2 linked regions of the Stegostoma tigrinum genome follow. The protein of the gene in region 1 binds, or shares a complex with, the protein of each later gene. Links are inferred from orthologs where the notes say so. Each region holds a gene or a part of one and is shown on either strand. Other genes may lie near its edges.

Evidence for each region. Proteins that work in one complex are often made in the same cells at the same time.
Region 2: pole3 (region 1) and baz1a share a complex: the UniProt entries of both Homo sapiens proteins name them as parts of the CHRAC ISWI chromatin remodeling complex. The link is inferred for Stegostoma tigrinum from reciprocal best matches to the Homo sapiens genes POLE3 and BAZ1A.

Annotation. Positions count from the first base shown.
Region 1 is NC_081382.1:5,786,749-5,794,551, forward strand, and holds the start of pole3 (DNA polymerase epsilon subunit 3), read right to left. Parts: upstream 3,002-7,803; 5' UTR 2,947-3,001; exon of another isoform or gene 2,925-2,946; intron 2,911-2,924; exon of another isoform or gene 2,715-2,910; intron 603-2,714; 5' UTR 589-602; coding exon 523-588; intron 1-522. UniProt on the Homo sapiens protein: Accessory component of the DNA polymerase epsilon complex. Participates in DNA repair and in chromosomal DNA replication.
Region 2 is NC_081363.1:58,510,982-58,518,056, reverse strand, and holds the start of baz1a (bromodomain adjacent to zinc finger domain protein 1A), read right to left. Parts: upstream 3,178-7,075; 5' UTR 2,944-3,177; intron 2,578-2,943; 5' UTR 2,554-2,577; coding exon 2,441-2,553; intron 1-2,440. UniProt on the Homo sapiens protein: Regulatory subunit of the ATP-dependent ACF-1 and ACF-5 ISWI chromatin remodeling complexes, which form ordered nucleosome arrays on chromatin and slide edge- and center-positioned histone octamers away from their original location on the DNA template to facilitate access to DNA during DNA-templated processes such as DNA replication, transcription, and repair.

The DNA.
Region 1 (7,803 bases):
GAACTTACTACATTTTAACTGGGGCATTAACAATGAAGTGTGTGTTCTGGTACTTGACCATCCCCTGATAGCCAATTTCAAATTGTATGTGATATTATAAAAGCAATGTAAAGTGTGTCCTTGTATTGATTATTCACATCATTTCTCCAGATAACAAATGCTGCATTTATTCAAATTATCCTTACTAATAGAAACAGTTCTGAAGGGTCACTTGTCTCAAAACATCAACTCTGCTTTCTCTATTTATGCTTCCAGACCTACTGAGTTTCTCCAGTAATTTGTTTTTGTTTCAGATTTCCAGCATCCATTCATTGTTTTAACTTCAAATGGCAAAATTCTGTCAAGAAAAGTACTTCATTTTATAGTAACTAGTGAACAACTAAGCAGTGAGAATTTCTTTTTAATTCGGAAAATTTATTATCTATCAGATGTTATCATAAGGCATAAAAATATAGTTCACAATCTAGTAGAGTCAACCGCGCAAAATCTGTGATTACAGATGCTTGTCTAATTCACGCTCACCGCCTCTTTAATAATCCTAGTAATGACTGCATTTGGTAGATTCAAGTCTTCCGGTCTCTCAGCCATCTTTCTCACATAAACTACAAATACACAAACAATTCAGTTAGATGTGTTAAAGTCCAGGGCAGCTGAGACATTCCTCAACTCCAAAACTACCATAAAACTACCGGCCAAGATGTAATACCTTGGACAAAGGTCTCAGGAATATGGAAACCTTTGGATGCAAGGTAACATAAGCAATACATGTTTAGCAGTTTGGGCATAGAACATAGAACAGTACAGCACAGAACAGGCCCTTCAGCCCACAATGTTGTGCCGACCATTGATCCTCATGTATGCACCCTCAAATTTCTGTGACCATATACATGTCCAGCAGTCTCTTAAATGACCCCAATGACCTTGCTTCCACAACTGCTGCTGGCAACGCATTCCATGCTCTCACAACTCTCTGCGTAAAGAACCTGCCTCTGACATCCCCTCTATACTTTCCACCAACCAGCTTAAAACTATGACCCCTCGTGCTAGCCATTTCTGCCCTGGGAAATAGTCTCTGGCTATCAACTCTATCTATGCCTCTCATTACCTTGTATACCTCAATTAGGTCCGCTCTCCTCCTCCTTTTCTCCAATGAAAAGAGACCGAGCTCAGTCAACCTCTCTTCATAAGATAAGCCCTCCAGTCCAGACAGCATCCTGGTAAACCTCCTCTGAACCCTCTCCATTGACATCCCCACATCACCAGATGGTCTCAGGTATAAGTTTACCACATATCACTGAGGATACACTTAATACAGAGAATTCCAGACTGGGATGGTTCTACTGCATGAAAATGCCATATTCAGAAGGATTTTGCAGTGGGGATACTGCACTGGGATAAATTTATCATGGGTGTGCCTCTGTACTGGGGTTTTTTCACTATGGGTCAGATCTGTTACAAATTTGAAACACTGGATGCTGTACACATGGGGCAGGGTATCAAAGGGCTGCCAACGTACTTGTACAGTTGTCTTTTGCAAATCCAAAAATCATTTGGGAGATGGGAATTTTAAAAAACACAAAAATACAAAAGAATTCAGCTAAATTATTTAAAGGACAATTAAATATACACTAGCAGCTAGTTTTGAATTGTCAAAATAATTGTGACATATGACTCAAAAAATGTTAAAAAGAAAAACACTTTTTGCTGTCTGCTTACAACCAATGTTCTACTGTATACACTGAAACAGGCCTCTACTTCAGCACCTTTACTGCAGTATGCACGGCGCACTGAAGATTGTCTTAATGAACCATTAAACTGAGGACCCATCTGCCTGCGCACACAGGCACAAGATCCCTGACACTGTTCACAGAAGAGCGGAGAGACACAGTTAACTTTCCTCAGCAAACATCACTGAGAAAAAATTAACTGCTTCCATTGCTTTTTGTCAGTTCCAAATTAGTTGTTGACCTATACATACTTCAAAAATAACTGATGCACTGAGAAATACATTGGGATAGCCCAAGGAAGTGAAAGGATAACAAAAGTATAAACACTGCTCAATCTAAGTTGAGACACCTAACATGCATGTCTCTTCATCCACTTTTCAATCTAACGATCAATATTGATTTAGATTTTATCTAAGCCACCAACTCTGAAAGTGAATTCCATGTGACCACATTATACAAGATGTTTCTTCTGATCTATTGTTTATATTATTTAATTCACATGAATCTCCATGCTCACTCAAAGCCTCAACAGTAGTTACAATTCATGCAGCCCAACACTGTATAGGAACTTTACATTGGATCTTCATTAACCTTGGTAGTGATTCTACATTGAAAAGCTGGCCCAAACAAAAACAAGGCAGATATTTATTTAACAGTCTACACAATCTCCAAAAATTCCATGGGACTTTTCAGACAAAGAAGTGCAACCATCACAGCAAACTCCCACAAACACCAACGGGATAAATAACCAAAGATGCTGGTACAGAGATACATATTGAATAGGACATCAAGGATAGACCCTATTTTCTGTACTGGAAAACTGTGGCATTGAACATGACAGATGAAAGACGCCGTAATCCAAATTTGCCCCTCCGAAAATGCGTCACTGTCTCTCTGGGCTGCTAAACAACCGTACAATGGCCATCTAGTGTTACCGCGCTCCCTCAGCACTGACCCTCCGACAGTGCCCGCTCCCTCAGCACTGACCCTCCGACAGTGCCCGCTCCCTCAGCACTGACCCTCCGGCAGTGCCCGCTCCCTCAGCACTGACCCTCCGGCAATGCCCGCTCCCTCAGGTGGTCAGTTGCCCGGCTCTGCAGACGGCCTAGCCCCGTGCCCTGCCTGAACTGAACCGTCCACAGCCCGCCGCCATGACACTGAGCACCTCATTAGAATAACGGCCACCCACACTCTCACCCCGTCCCTCGCGCGCTCTCACCCGCCAGCAAAAGACGTCCGCAGCCTCCCGCAACCTTTCACCCCTGACCCCCTCCGGAACGCCTGATTGGACGGCTGCTGTGGCGCGTGAGCTCTACCCGCGTCATCTTCCCGCGCTTGGTTACCGAAGGCTGCGGCCTCCAGCCAGAGGCGCCGCCTAAAGGCGCTGGAGAGGAGTTTCACCGCTGCGTGAGTAGTAAGGAAAGTGGTCCAAATTACAAGTGTTATCTCCCAAACTAGTATACCCGGCACTAAGACACTGATCGCTCAAAACTAGCACTGCTGGGTAGGACGTATTCATATTGTCATGACCACGGGTCCCAACCTAAAGTACTGTTAATATTTTTAGCTCATAATTCCGAAGTGGATTTTAAAAGAGAGGCAATCCATAGGGCCATAAGTAGCTGCAGATGTAAATTAATTGACTGACTGGAGAGAAGGATAGCCATGGAATGTCGCACTTAAAGGTGGAAAGGGAACCTTAACCTTTTTCACATACATACAAGAATACACAAAGACAGGGATGTAAAAAGCCTGTTCACTCTGCCAGCATGTGCTCCAGAGGACCTAGGTTCTCGTGTGCCAGTGGGCTGACGTTCCCCTGTGTACGAAGCTCGAATTGAATGTCGGTGCTTTGCAATCATGGATAATGGGAACTGCAGATGCTGGAGAATCCAAGATAATAAAGTGTGAGGCTGGATGAACACAGCAGGCCAAGCAGCATCTCAGGAGCACAAAAGCTGACGTTTCGGGCCTAGACCCTTCATCAGAAAAGGGGGAGGGGGAGAGGATTCTGAAATAAATAGGGAGAGAGGGGGAGGCAATAGGTCAGTCCTGGGAGGACGGACAGGTCAAGGAGGCGGGATGAGATGGTACGTAGGAAATGGAGGTGCGGCTTGAGGTGGGAGGAAGGGATGGGTGAGAGGAAGAACAGGTTAGGGAGGCAGAGACAGGCTGGGCTGGTTTTGGGATGCAGTGGGGGGAGTGGAGATTTTGAAGCTTGTGAATGTTGCAGAAACAGCAACTCATATTCCGCTTGGGAACCCTGCAGCCCAATGGTATCAATGTGGACTTCACAAGCTTCAAAATCTCTCCTTCGCCCACTGCATCCCAAAACCAGCCCAGCCTGTCTCTGCCTCCCTAACCTGTTCTTCCTCTCACCTATCCCTTCCTCCCATCTCAAGCCACATCTCCATTTCTTACCTACTAACCTCATCCCACCTCCTTAACCTGTCCGTCCTCCCCAGACTGACCTATCCCGTCCCCACCTATGCTCTTCTCTCCACCTATCTTCTCCCCTCTCCATCTTCGGTCCGTCTCCCCATCTCTCCCTATTTATTTCAGAACCCTCTCCCCATCCCCCTCTCTGACAAAGGATCTAGGCCCGAAACGTCAGATTTTGTGCTCCTGAGATGCTGCTGGGCCTGCTGTGTTCATCCAGCTCCACACTTTGTTATCTTGCTTTGCAATCATTGTCTAGTTTAATCATTGCAGGTAAAGGGAACCTCTTAATCTGAGTGCTCATTACCAGTAGCTGGGTAGCCAGAGAAAAGTTTGAAAAGACAACAGAAGGACTATATCACCCTGAATGCCGTCATTCATCCACAATCAAAAGGAATCAGAAATACAGGATTTTAATCAACATGCAAATGTAAGACTTGAAACCAACTCTTCAACTTCCAGTGTCAGTGTTGCCAATAAACCCCACTGTCACAGCCATATTATTCAACGTTTTGGGAACAATTAGGAGACAGATCTGAATACAGTAAACTTATTAAGCAGAACCCATGGGACCAGGAGTATGCAGATTAATCAAATATTCTGGTTGATCAAGAGGTTCATCTAATCAATGTAAAAACACACACTTAGTGATTGAAATGTAATGTCGGGTGTCAATGCCCATTATGTGTCTACTCAGGCATTGTGAGGATCACGATAATACAGTTAATTTCAGTTATGTAATTTTTGCCGTTTTATCAAGTGTTGGTTTGTAGGATGCTAGTTAGTACAAAGTTTGCTGTATCTGCTTTTAAAAAATTTTATCTTTTAGATCTCACTTTTTTTCTAACCTGTGTGCTGTTACAAATTCTTGCTTTGAAAACGCAGGTTCATTTGGATCTGGGAGAAAGGCATCTACAAGAGAGAAGATTTGCTTTTAAATTAAACATGTTGAGACCAACATGGCTTGGGTGAATAAAAAAGGAAAAGGCAGTTAATTTTCCCCTGTCTGCTTCTACTTCACCTACGGGCTTAACAAATTGTACAAACTGTCTGGAACCATAACAAGTTGGGGGATCTTGCCAAGGATCCAAGCATAAGAATATGTCGAACACCATTCTTCTGAAATTTCTTTTCTAATTGGAACTCAGTCCTTGGTGTAGAAAATTTGAGAGGATACCTCATTGACAAGGGAATAGTGGTCAGAAATACATTAATATTAATTGTCATAGTGATGGGATCTTTTATTTCCAAATGAAAAGAATGTAGATGTGAGTTTGCTCGCTGAGCTGGAAGGTTAGTTTTCAGACGTTTCGTCACTTTTTTTTAATTGATTTGAAAAAATATACTTTATTCATAGAACATACAAAAAATAAAACATTTATACACCTACCCAGTCATACAAGCTGCTCCGGGTTACCCAGGGGGTACGTGCACCAACTAAAAGGAAAAAACAAAACAAAGGAAAAAAAAAACTAAGCAAAGAAAATACCCCGGCAGTCGTCTCCCCGCACAGTCCCCGTTGGCCCCCTGACCAGTTGGGGAAGGCGCCAGCTGGACCCAGTTACCAGATAGGGCCCTTGTTTCTATTCTGGACGAGGGGTTTCATACGGTGGTCTTTCCCCACCGTGTCTTGCCAGCAGCTGCCCCAAGATTTAGCGCATCCCTCAGCACGTAGTCCTGGACCTTGGAGTGTGCCAGTCTGCAACGCTCGGTCGGGGTCAGTTCTTTCAGCTGGCAGACCAATAAGTTGCGGGCAGACCAAAGAGCATCTTTCACTGCATTGATGGTCCTCCAGGCGCAGTTGATGTTGGTCTCGGTGTGCGTCCCGGGAAACAGCCCGTAGAGCACGGAGTCCCGCGTCACGGAGCTGCTCGGGACGAACCTCGACAAATACCACTGCATCCCCCTCCAGACCTCCTGCACAGACAGTCTCGTCGCCCCCGCAGCCGCCTCAAGGGCAGTGTGCGGTGGTGCAGAGATTCCAGGCATGCATAAAAGATATCACTGGCAGACCCCCTCTCACTGCCAGCCAAGCAATGTCCTTGTGCTTGTTGGAAAGTTCTGGCGATGAGGCATTCTCCCAAACGACTTTGGCAGTCTGCGTGGGGAACCACATGACGGGATCCACCCTCTCCTTTTCCCGAAGGGTCTCAAGAATACTACGTGCTGACCACTGCCTGACAGCCTTGTGGTAAAGGTGTTTCCTTTCAAAAATTTCTCCACGAAGGACAGGTGGTACGGGATGATCCAACTACTCGGAGCGTTCCGCAGCAACGAGGCCAGGCCCATCCTTCGCAACATCGGGGACAGGTAGAACCTCAGTAAGTAGTGACACTTGGTGTTTGCGTACTGAGGATCTACGCACAGTTCGATGCAGCCGCACACAAAGGTAGCCATCAGGGCGAGGGTGGCATTCGGTAAGCCCTTTCCCCCATTTTCCAGGTCTTTGTACATGGTGTCCCTGTGGATCTGGTCCATCCTCGACCCCCAAATGAAGTGGAAGATGGCCCGGGTGACCGCAGCGGCGCAGGTCCAGGGAATAGGCCAGGCCTGCGCCACATACAACAGTACCGAAAGCCCCTCGCACCTGACAACCAGGTTCTTACCCGTGATGGAGAGGGACCGGAGCGTCCACCTTCCCAGCTTCTGCTTCAACTTGGTGATATGCTCCTCCCAGGTCTTAGTGCATGCCCCAGCTCCACCGAACCAAACACCCAGCACCTTCAGGTAGTCTGTCCTGACGGTGAAGGGGATGAAGGAGCGGTCGTCCCAGTTCCCGAAGAACATAGCCTCGCTCTTACCACTGTTGACTTTGGCACCTGAGGCCAGTTCAAACTGGCCACAGATGTCCAACAGCCTACTCACCGACCGACGATCGGTACAGAAGACGGCGACATCGTCCACGTACAGGGAGGTCTTGACCTGAAGGCCTCCGCTGCCCGGGATAGTCACACCCTTCAGGCTCACGTTCTTCCTGATGGATGCGGCGAAGGGCTTCACACAGCACACGAACAAGGCAGGAGAGAGCGGGCAGCCCTGCCTGACTCCATATCTGACGGGAAAAATGTCCAATTCCCACCCGTTGATCGAGACTGCACTAACAATGTTGGTGTAGAGCAGCCGGATCCAATTGCGGATCCCCTCCCCGAACCCCAATTTGGAGAGGACGTCCCTCATGTAAGCATGAGAGACCCTGTCAAAGGCCTTCTCCTGGTCCAGGCTGACGAGGCAGGTGTCCACCCGCCTGTCCTGTACGTAGGCAATCGTATCCCTGATGAGCGCAAGGCTCTCAGCGATCTTCCTGCCCGGCACAGCACAGGTTTGGTCAGGGTGAATCACCGAGTCCAGGACAGACCTGACCCGGTTGGCTATGACCTTGGCCAGGATTTTGTAGTCCACGTACAATAGTGAAATGGGATGCCAATTCTTAATTTCTTCCCTCTCCCCCTTCCTCTTGTAAATGAGGGTGAAGATGCCCTTCCTCACGGACTTGCACATTTCCACTGCCCGAAGCGCACTATCGTACACCTCCAGGAGGTCCTGGCCGACCAGATCCCACAGGGCGGAATACAGCTCGACCGGTAAGCCGTCGCTCCCGGGAGTCTTATTCCTCTCCAAGGACTTGAGGGCTCTGGTC
Region 2 (7,075 bases), on another chromosome or scaffold:
ACATGATGGGCCAAATGGCTTCCTTCTCCACTGAAGAACAATGGAGGCAGGTTGTCTTTTAATTTGTATAGCAAAATAAAGCTGCTGTTCCAGAAAGCTATAATTCCTCAAATTAAATGAAGTTTTAAAACAATTACTGCTTTTATATTCAAACACATTTCTAAAGAAACAGAAACAAAAAAAAATGTATTTACATTGCACAATTACTGAGAGCTAAGCACGATATCGAAAATGCTTTATCTCAGCAGTGACAGAAAATACATCAAGCACAAGACTTTTTAAACTTCAATGGTACTTCCAGAAATATCTGGTCCATAAAATATGGTTATTTCTTGGCACATTAGTGAATTAACTTGCGACACCCTAAAAGGGTAATTTAGTTTCTTTGATGCGTCCATAGCTTACTCAACTAAGATTAAAATGATTTCCTTCTGAACATGAAATCTCAGCATTGTGGTGGCCTTCAATCAGCATACACTGATACATTGTGACAAGATGGCCATCCATGGAGAGAATTACAGGCACAAACTCATTTTTCCCTTCATTGTGGAGCAACATTAGATATAGAAAACAACATGCCCAGCAAACTACACAGTTTTTCTTGGCATGTGGTGTCTATTGTATTAGCTCGTGTGACAATCTACCTCCATGAACACAGGATATTCATAGTGATCAACTGACACCAAGTGGCAGGTATACAAATACGGCAATTTTTTGAAATATTTCTCAATTCTTTACACCAAAGCACGAACACCAAAAGGTAAGGCTAAATTTTACTTCCCCATCAGACTAGCCACATAAGTAAGAGAGGTCAAAGACAGAGGCCTGCAGAAGTAACTCACCTAACTTCCTATTTGCAGGGCACAAATCAGGAGTGTGAAAGAATACTTGTCACTTGTCCAGATAAGCACAGCTCCAACAAGTTGTTCAATATCATACTGGACAAAGGAACCCATCCACTGCTAATGCTCAGATGTAGCCATGTGCTTCGTATAAGAGATATATCAGAGCAACGAATCACACTGCGTTTGACTGAAACTTCCAAATGCACAGGGTGTAGCACCTAGAAGAGTGGCAGATTGGTAGCAAGACCATCAAGATTCCAAACCCTGTCCCCACTCTAAACCAACACTCCTTACTGTATAGGCGATAATAATAACTGCAGATACTGGAAGTGAGTCCATACAGCGTTGAGCTGGGGAAACACTGGTCATGCAGCAGAGAAACAGGAAAGTGGACCCTTCATCAGGACTCTAAGTCAAGATTGTCCAGCTCCACCATACTGTATCTTTAAAAGAAAAATATAGCAAGTGATCCAAATCCTGGAACTTCCTAATGGCACTGGCACGTACCTACACCATATGAACCCTTTGTGGTGTGAGAAATGTAAATGTTGGCTTTACCAGCAAGGTCCACACCATATTAACGAATTAGAATGCTCAGAAATAATTTCTGTAACCAATAATACTTCAAGAGCATCACAAAAACGAGCGGTGGTGTTCATTAACATTAGGCAAAAATTTATTGCTTGGAAATATGTGGCGACTTTCATGTATTCCAGCATTGGGTAATTCAGTTATTCCCAGTTTGTAATGCGTTCCATTAAGTGCCTGCCTTGTAATCGTTTCAGTCACCTCGCTCTTGGAGTGCTTTTCCATTACACTTGAGGTAACTGCAATCCGCACGTTATACAGGGTTTCGAAAAGTTAAAGCAAGAAGATAACCACGAATTAATTCGTCATTCGACTAATAAAAAGTGTGAAGATATCTTCAAGTTCCGTACGCCTGTGATGCTTATAATTAAACAGGCTCGGTTTCTCCAAACCAGGCCCATCACTGACTCCGTGTACAAAAGAGACAATGTTCGGATAAGCATCAAAACAGCCCACGCTCTCCACACGTCGCGCACGAAACTCAAGTCTTATCCTCGCTGCGGAGATGCTCATTAAAAATCAAACCCAGACAGAGAAAACAAAAGCGAGGAAATAATAGAGGCGACATCCTCCGGACACCCCCAAAAACAGTTTATACAAATGACGTAAACGGGAACATCTCGGATCGAGCATGTGTGCGAGGAAAAAAAATACCAGCCGCCGGGGGTGTCTAAATAAATTTAGATTATCCAGCAGCACAAGGCCTACTCCAGTCCGCATTCGGCACGAGTTAGTTATTAGTTATTTGACAGCCCGCCACACGGGCACAAGGGAGAGAGGGAGAAACAGACTGTGTGGACAGCAGTGGAAGGCAACCAAAGTCCTCCTTCCATCCCCCACGCCCGCCGCCAAAGCCCGGGAGACAAACCCGGAGCCGTTAACGTTGCTTTCGAATCATAATTTGCCGATTTGAACGAAAATGAGGTAGTGCGCCCTTGTGCCGCTTCGGCGGCAGAGGAAATTCAGCGGACCCACTCCCAAAGCCCCGTCGCCAAACACCAACTCACTCGTAATTCCTGAAGATCTCGATGGTCATCCGACAGTAGAAAACTTCTTCGTCCGGCTTCAGGTCGGCCGGGGGTTTTTGTCTGACGAACGGTTTGCGATGGAGAAGCGGCATCCCCTTCCTCGGGCAGGCACAGCGCTGGCGGAGAGGGGTTCAAGAGACGCCAAGCAGCACCAGAGGAATCAAAGAGAAAGAGAAACACACACTCTTAATAATTACAAAGTACATGGAGTAGCTGCGGGCGGTCAAATCCAACACCGGCACGACAACGACTTCGCCGACAAACTTCAAACGCGTCCCCGGGATCCACGGCGGAAGCCCATCATTTACCGTTACTGTCGACCAGGGAAGCACGAGTCAACCGCGGCCCACAGTGTGCTCGAGAGCCGCTCTCTCTTTTACCGATAATATGTTGCCCAACCACCCCGTTTGCCCGCTTCCCCTCGCCACCCGCCCGCGTCCCAAACGCGGAACCACCCGCTCAAGTCACAGGGAAAGCCTTACCTGGTGTGTGTACGTATGCTGATAGGAAGTGGCCGGTAAATATTTGTCGGCTTTTTAAGTCTCTCTTTCCCCTCCTCCCTGAGCTTGAAGGCTGTGTTCCGGGGAGTCCGATCAGCCACTACTACCGGCTCCGTCCAGCGCCGCTTCCACTTCCTCTCGCCAGCCGCGGCTTCTCCCTCCGTCTGCTTCCCCTCTGCCGCTGCGCCTGCGTCCCACTCGAAACGGCACGTTCTTCACGTCACAAGAGGTGGAACTCCACACCCAGCCACTCCACCCATTGGCACCCCCTTACCCGATACCTTCCTCCCATTGGCCCATCTCGCCCGACATCCACTCACCTATTGGCTCATCCTACCACGTATCCGCCCTTCCATTGGCTCATTTCGACACATTTCTATCCACCCATTGGCCTTGGTCCCTACATCACAATCACTATTGGTTGTCCCCTCCGACGCCAAAGCCTCGCTTCTCATTGAATCAGGCTAAATATTGTCACCAAAAACAGAACATACTCCTCCGTTTCCCATATGCTCCTTTCCACAACGCACACTTTCTCGGACTCTACCTAATGTTCCTTCTTTATCTCCCTGGTTCATTCTCTTTTTCGATAATACCTGCTGTCTCTCTCACGCATTCTGTTTCTGGCTCTGTTTTTCCGTTTCAAACTCTCTCTCAATTATGGAGTTTTTCCAATCATTTCGTTCTTGTTTTAGACTTCCAGCATCTGCAACGTTTCACTTTCGTACAGATTTGTTTTCCTTCAGACAGTATCATTTCTGTACCATTTGGTCATTTGTTTTGTCCTCTGCTTTTTTTCATGCTCTTTACAACTTTTCTTACTCCGAAACAAAAACCGTTCTGAGGAAGGGTCACTCGACCCGAAAGATCACCTCTGTTTCTCTGCACAGTTGCTGCCAGGCCTGCCGAACTTTTCCAGCAATTTCTGGTATTGTTTCTGATTTAAAGATCTTCAGTTCTTTCGGCTTACTTCGATCCCTGTCAACTTAGGGTCTTGTAGGTTGACGTCTTTGTATCGTTGATGTGGGTGTCCAGTTGCTTCACGCAGATAGCAAACTCGCCGAAAGTTTGTCTGTGCAAATGAAGTTCCATTCGTTTGGTTCAGGTGACCCAGCAATCTAAGAGGGGACACATGCTGAGGATCCTTGCATCTTGGTGTTGCTGTGTTTGGCATTGTCTTGGTAAGACATGCCCAAAATTTCTCTAAAATTGCAGGGAAGGAAGCTGTTCAATGGCTTTTCTTCGCTTGCACATATTTTCCATGCTTCATGACTGAAAAGCCAAGTGAGACTGTACTTCAAATTACTTTTCTCTTAGTTTCACAATTGCCTTCGCAGTTTATGACGACGATGGCCTTGGAAGTTTTGGTATTGACTCGGAAGGAAATCAAGACGTTGGTTGGTAATTGTTGATTCAGGGTAGGTGAAGCTGTTGCTAATCTCTAAAGTGAGGAAGTCAATATTGATGACGATGGACTCTATGCATGATTTTGACCTTCCTGATGCAGGTTATAATCCAACCCCTCTGCAGTGTCTGGGAGAGCCAATTTATAAGCTGTTGGAGCTAACTTCAGGATGGGATGCTAATGAGGCATCATCAACAAACAGCAATTCGTGAACTAGGATGTTATGCATTTTGGGATTGGCATGTAGGCTTATCAATTCAGACAATCTGCTCTGGCATGCAGATAGACATCCTCATTTGTATAGCGAAAGCGTACAATATGTAGCATGGAGGAAAACATACTAAAGAGAGTTGGTGTCAGGATGCAGTTCTGTTTCACCGTGCTGCTGATTTCAAAGCCAAACATTGCTCCACTGTAACTGACAAATGTGTGTACATTCTTGTGGAAAGAAATTAAGGAGTCCAAGAAATCAATCTTCTGCAGTTTAAGAATCTTCGTCTTTGTTGACTAAGTTGAAGGTCTTGATGAGTTGTGTGAAATCAGTTTAGAGTGATCTGCACTTTCGGAGCACTTATTCTGCAACTGCCCAAGACAGAAAATCGTGACACCACAGTGAGACTCAGTTTAGGTATGTGATGTCAGACTCTGCAATCTGGCCACAATAATGATCTTTGCCACAATATTTCACGAGGAGATGCCTTGGTAATTGGTGCAATCAAGACAATTCTTCTTGTTTTTGACCCAAACTATTTTGTATTAATGCATGTCTTGAGACAGAACTCTTTCTTTCCAGCAGAGACACATTACATAGAGGTCCTGCAGCAGTACTAGTTTTTCAAGTTGGATGACATAAGGTGGAATGAAATGACATCCTAGAGCTTTACTGCTGCCAAGAAAGTCAATGGTCCTGTTGAACTCTTCGATGGTGAGTTTGCTGTCCAGCATCTCTGACAGAAAAATCTGGAATAGTGCTGAGAGCTTTTATACAATACACAACATTGTCACTGCAAGAGTTTGAGATAGTGCTTCACCTACCTTTCTACATGCTTGCCAAGTTCAATGATGATCTGCCTGTCTTTGTGTTCACGGAAGTTGATTTGTTGTTCCTGGCTCTGTTGCTTTCTTGATTCATTCACGTCTCCAGTGTCTCCAGATCCAGTAGCACATTTTACACTTGTGCAGAGTTTCAGAGTATTAATTAGCACAGTGCCAAAATCCTGCTCAGACTTGATTTTGGCTGCTCTCAGATCATTTAGATTTTGTCTCCGACTTGGTTGTCGTTCATGAGGGCTATTTTCTTGGTTGCAGTAACTGGTGCTTTCAATTCAATTAGTCAGCATTTCTCTGATCTATTTTCCCATATGCAGTGAGTGCAGAGTTATAAACGGTGTTGGACAGATAATCCTACTTTGACCCTTGGACATTGTTGTCTGAAAGAGCCTGATAAATGGTATTGATCAGCTTGTGGGTCTTGAATGTATCAGCGATACACAAGATTTCATTTGAAGACAACGTTTCTGTCTGGTATGGTAAAGTTTCCTTGGCTTTTGTCTCTATGATCTTGCTACATGCCACAGTTGTCAGGGTTAGATTCAGCACTTGATAGTTAGAAATGATCATGAAGCTGTTGTGGATGTTAGGTCTGGTATTGATGAGATCTGACTGGTGTGAGTGGCACATTTTCAGACATCCCCAGAACAACTTGCGGAAAACTTTGGTCTGCCAATTCCCTGGTGCCCTAGCTCAGTTGGCTAGATGGCCAGTTTCCCTTCATAGTTTAGTGCACTGTAGAATGATTCAATTGCACTTGAGATGGGACAGAACAGATACACCACATGTTGCCTGGGTTGGATCATCTTAGCTGTGAAGAGATGTTGGATAAGCTTGGGTTGTTTGGAGCAGAGAAGCTTCAAAAGGAACATGACTGAGATGAATAAGATCACGGGGATATGGACAGGTTAGATAGAAAAGTTGCTTCCCCACTCAGAAGGTGATCTAGGTCTAAAATGCACTGCCAAGGAGGGTAATTGAGGCATCTAACTTCAAAACCTCTGTGCAGAGAAAGCAGAGTCAATATATTGAGACTAGTGACCCTTCGACCTGTTGAGATTCTCCTGCAATTTCTGTTCTTGTTTCAGCTTTCCAGCAACTGCAGTTCTTGGTTTTATTTTAGTGATACACAGCGAGTTTTGAGAAGATTTGTAGCTCAGGTTGAGGTTCTGGATGTGAGTTTGCTCACTGAGCTGGAAGGTTTGTTTTCAGACGTTTCGTCACCATTCTAGGTAACATCATCAGTGAGCCTCTGGTGAAGCGCTGGTGTTATGTCCCGCTTTCTATTTATCTGTTTAGGTTTCCTTTGGTTGGTGATGTCATTTCCTGTTCTTTTTCTCAGAGGAAGGTAGATAGGCTCCAAATCAATGTGTTTGTTGATGGAGTTCCGCTTGGAATGCCATGCTTCTCGGGATTCTCGTGCGTGTCTCTGTTTGGCTTGTCCTGGGATGGATGTGTTGTCCCAATCAAAGTGGTGTCCTTCCTCATCTCTATGTAAGGATACTAGTGATAGTGGATCATGTCTTTTTGTGCCTAGTTGATGTTCGTGTATCCTGGTGGCTAGCTTTCTGCCTGTTTGTCACAGTTCTTGCAAGGTATTTTGTAAATGACGTTTGTTTTGCTTGTTGTCTGTATAGGGTCTTTTAAGTTCATTAGCTG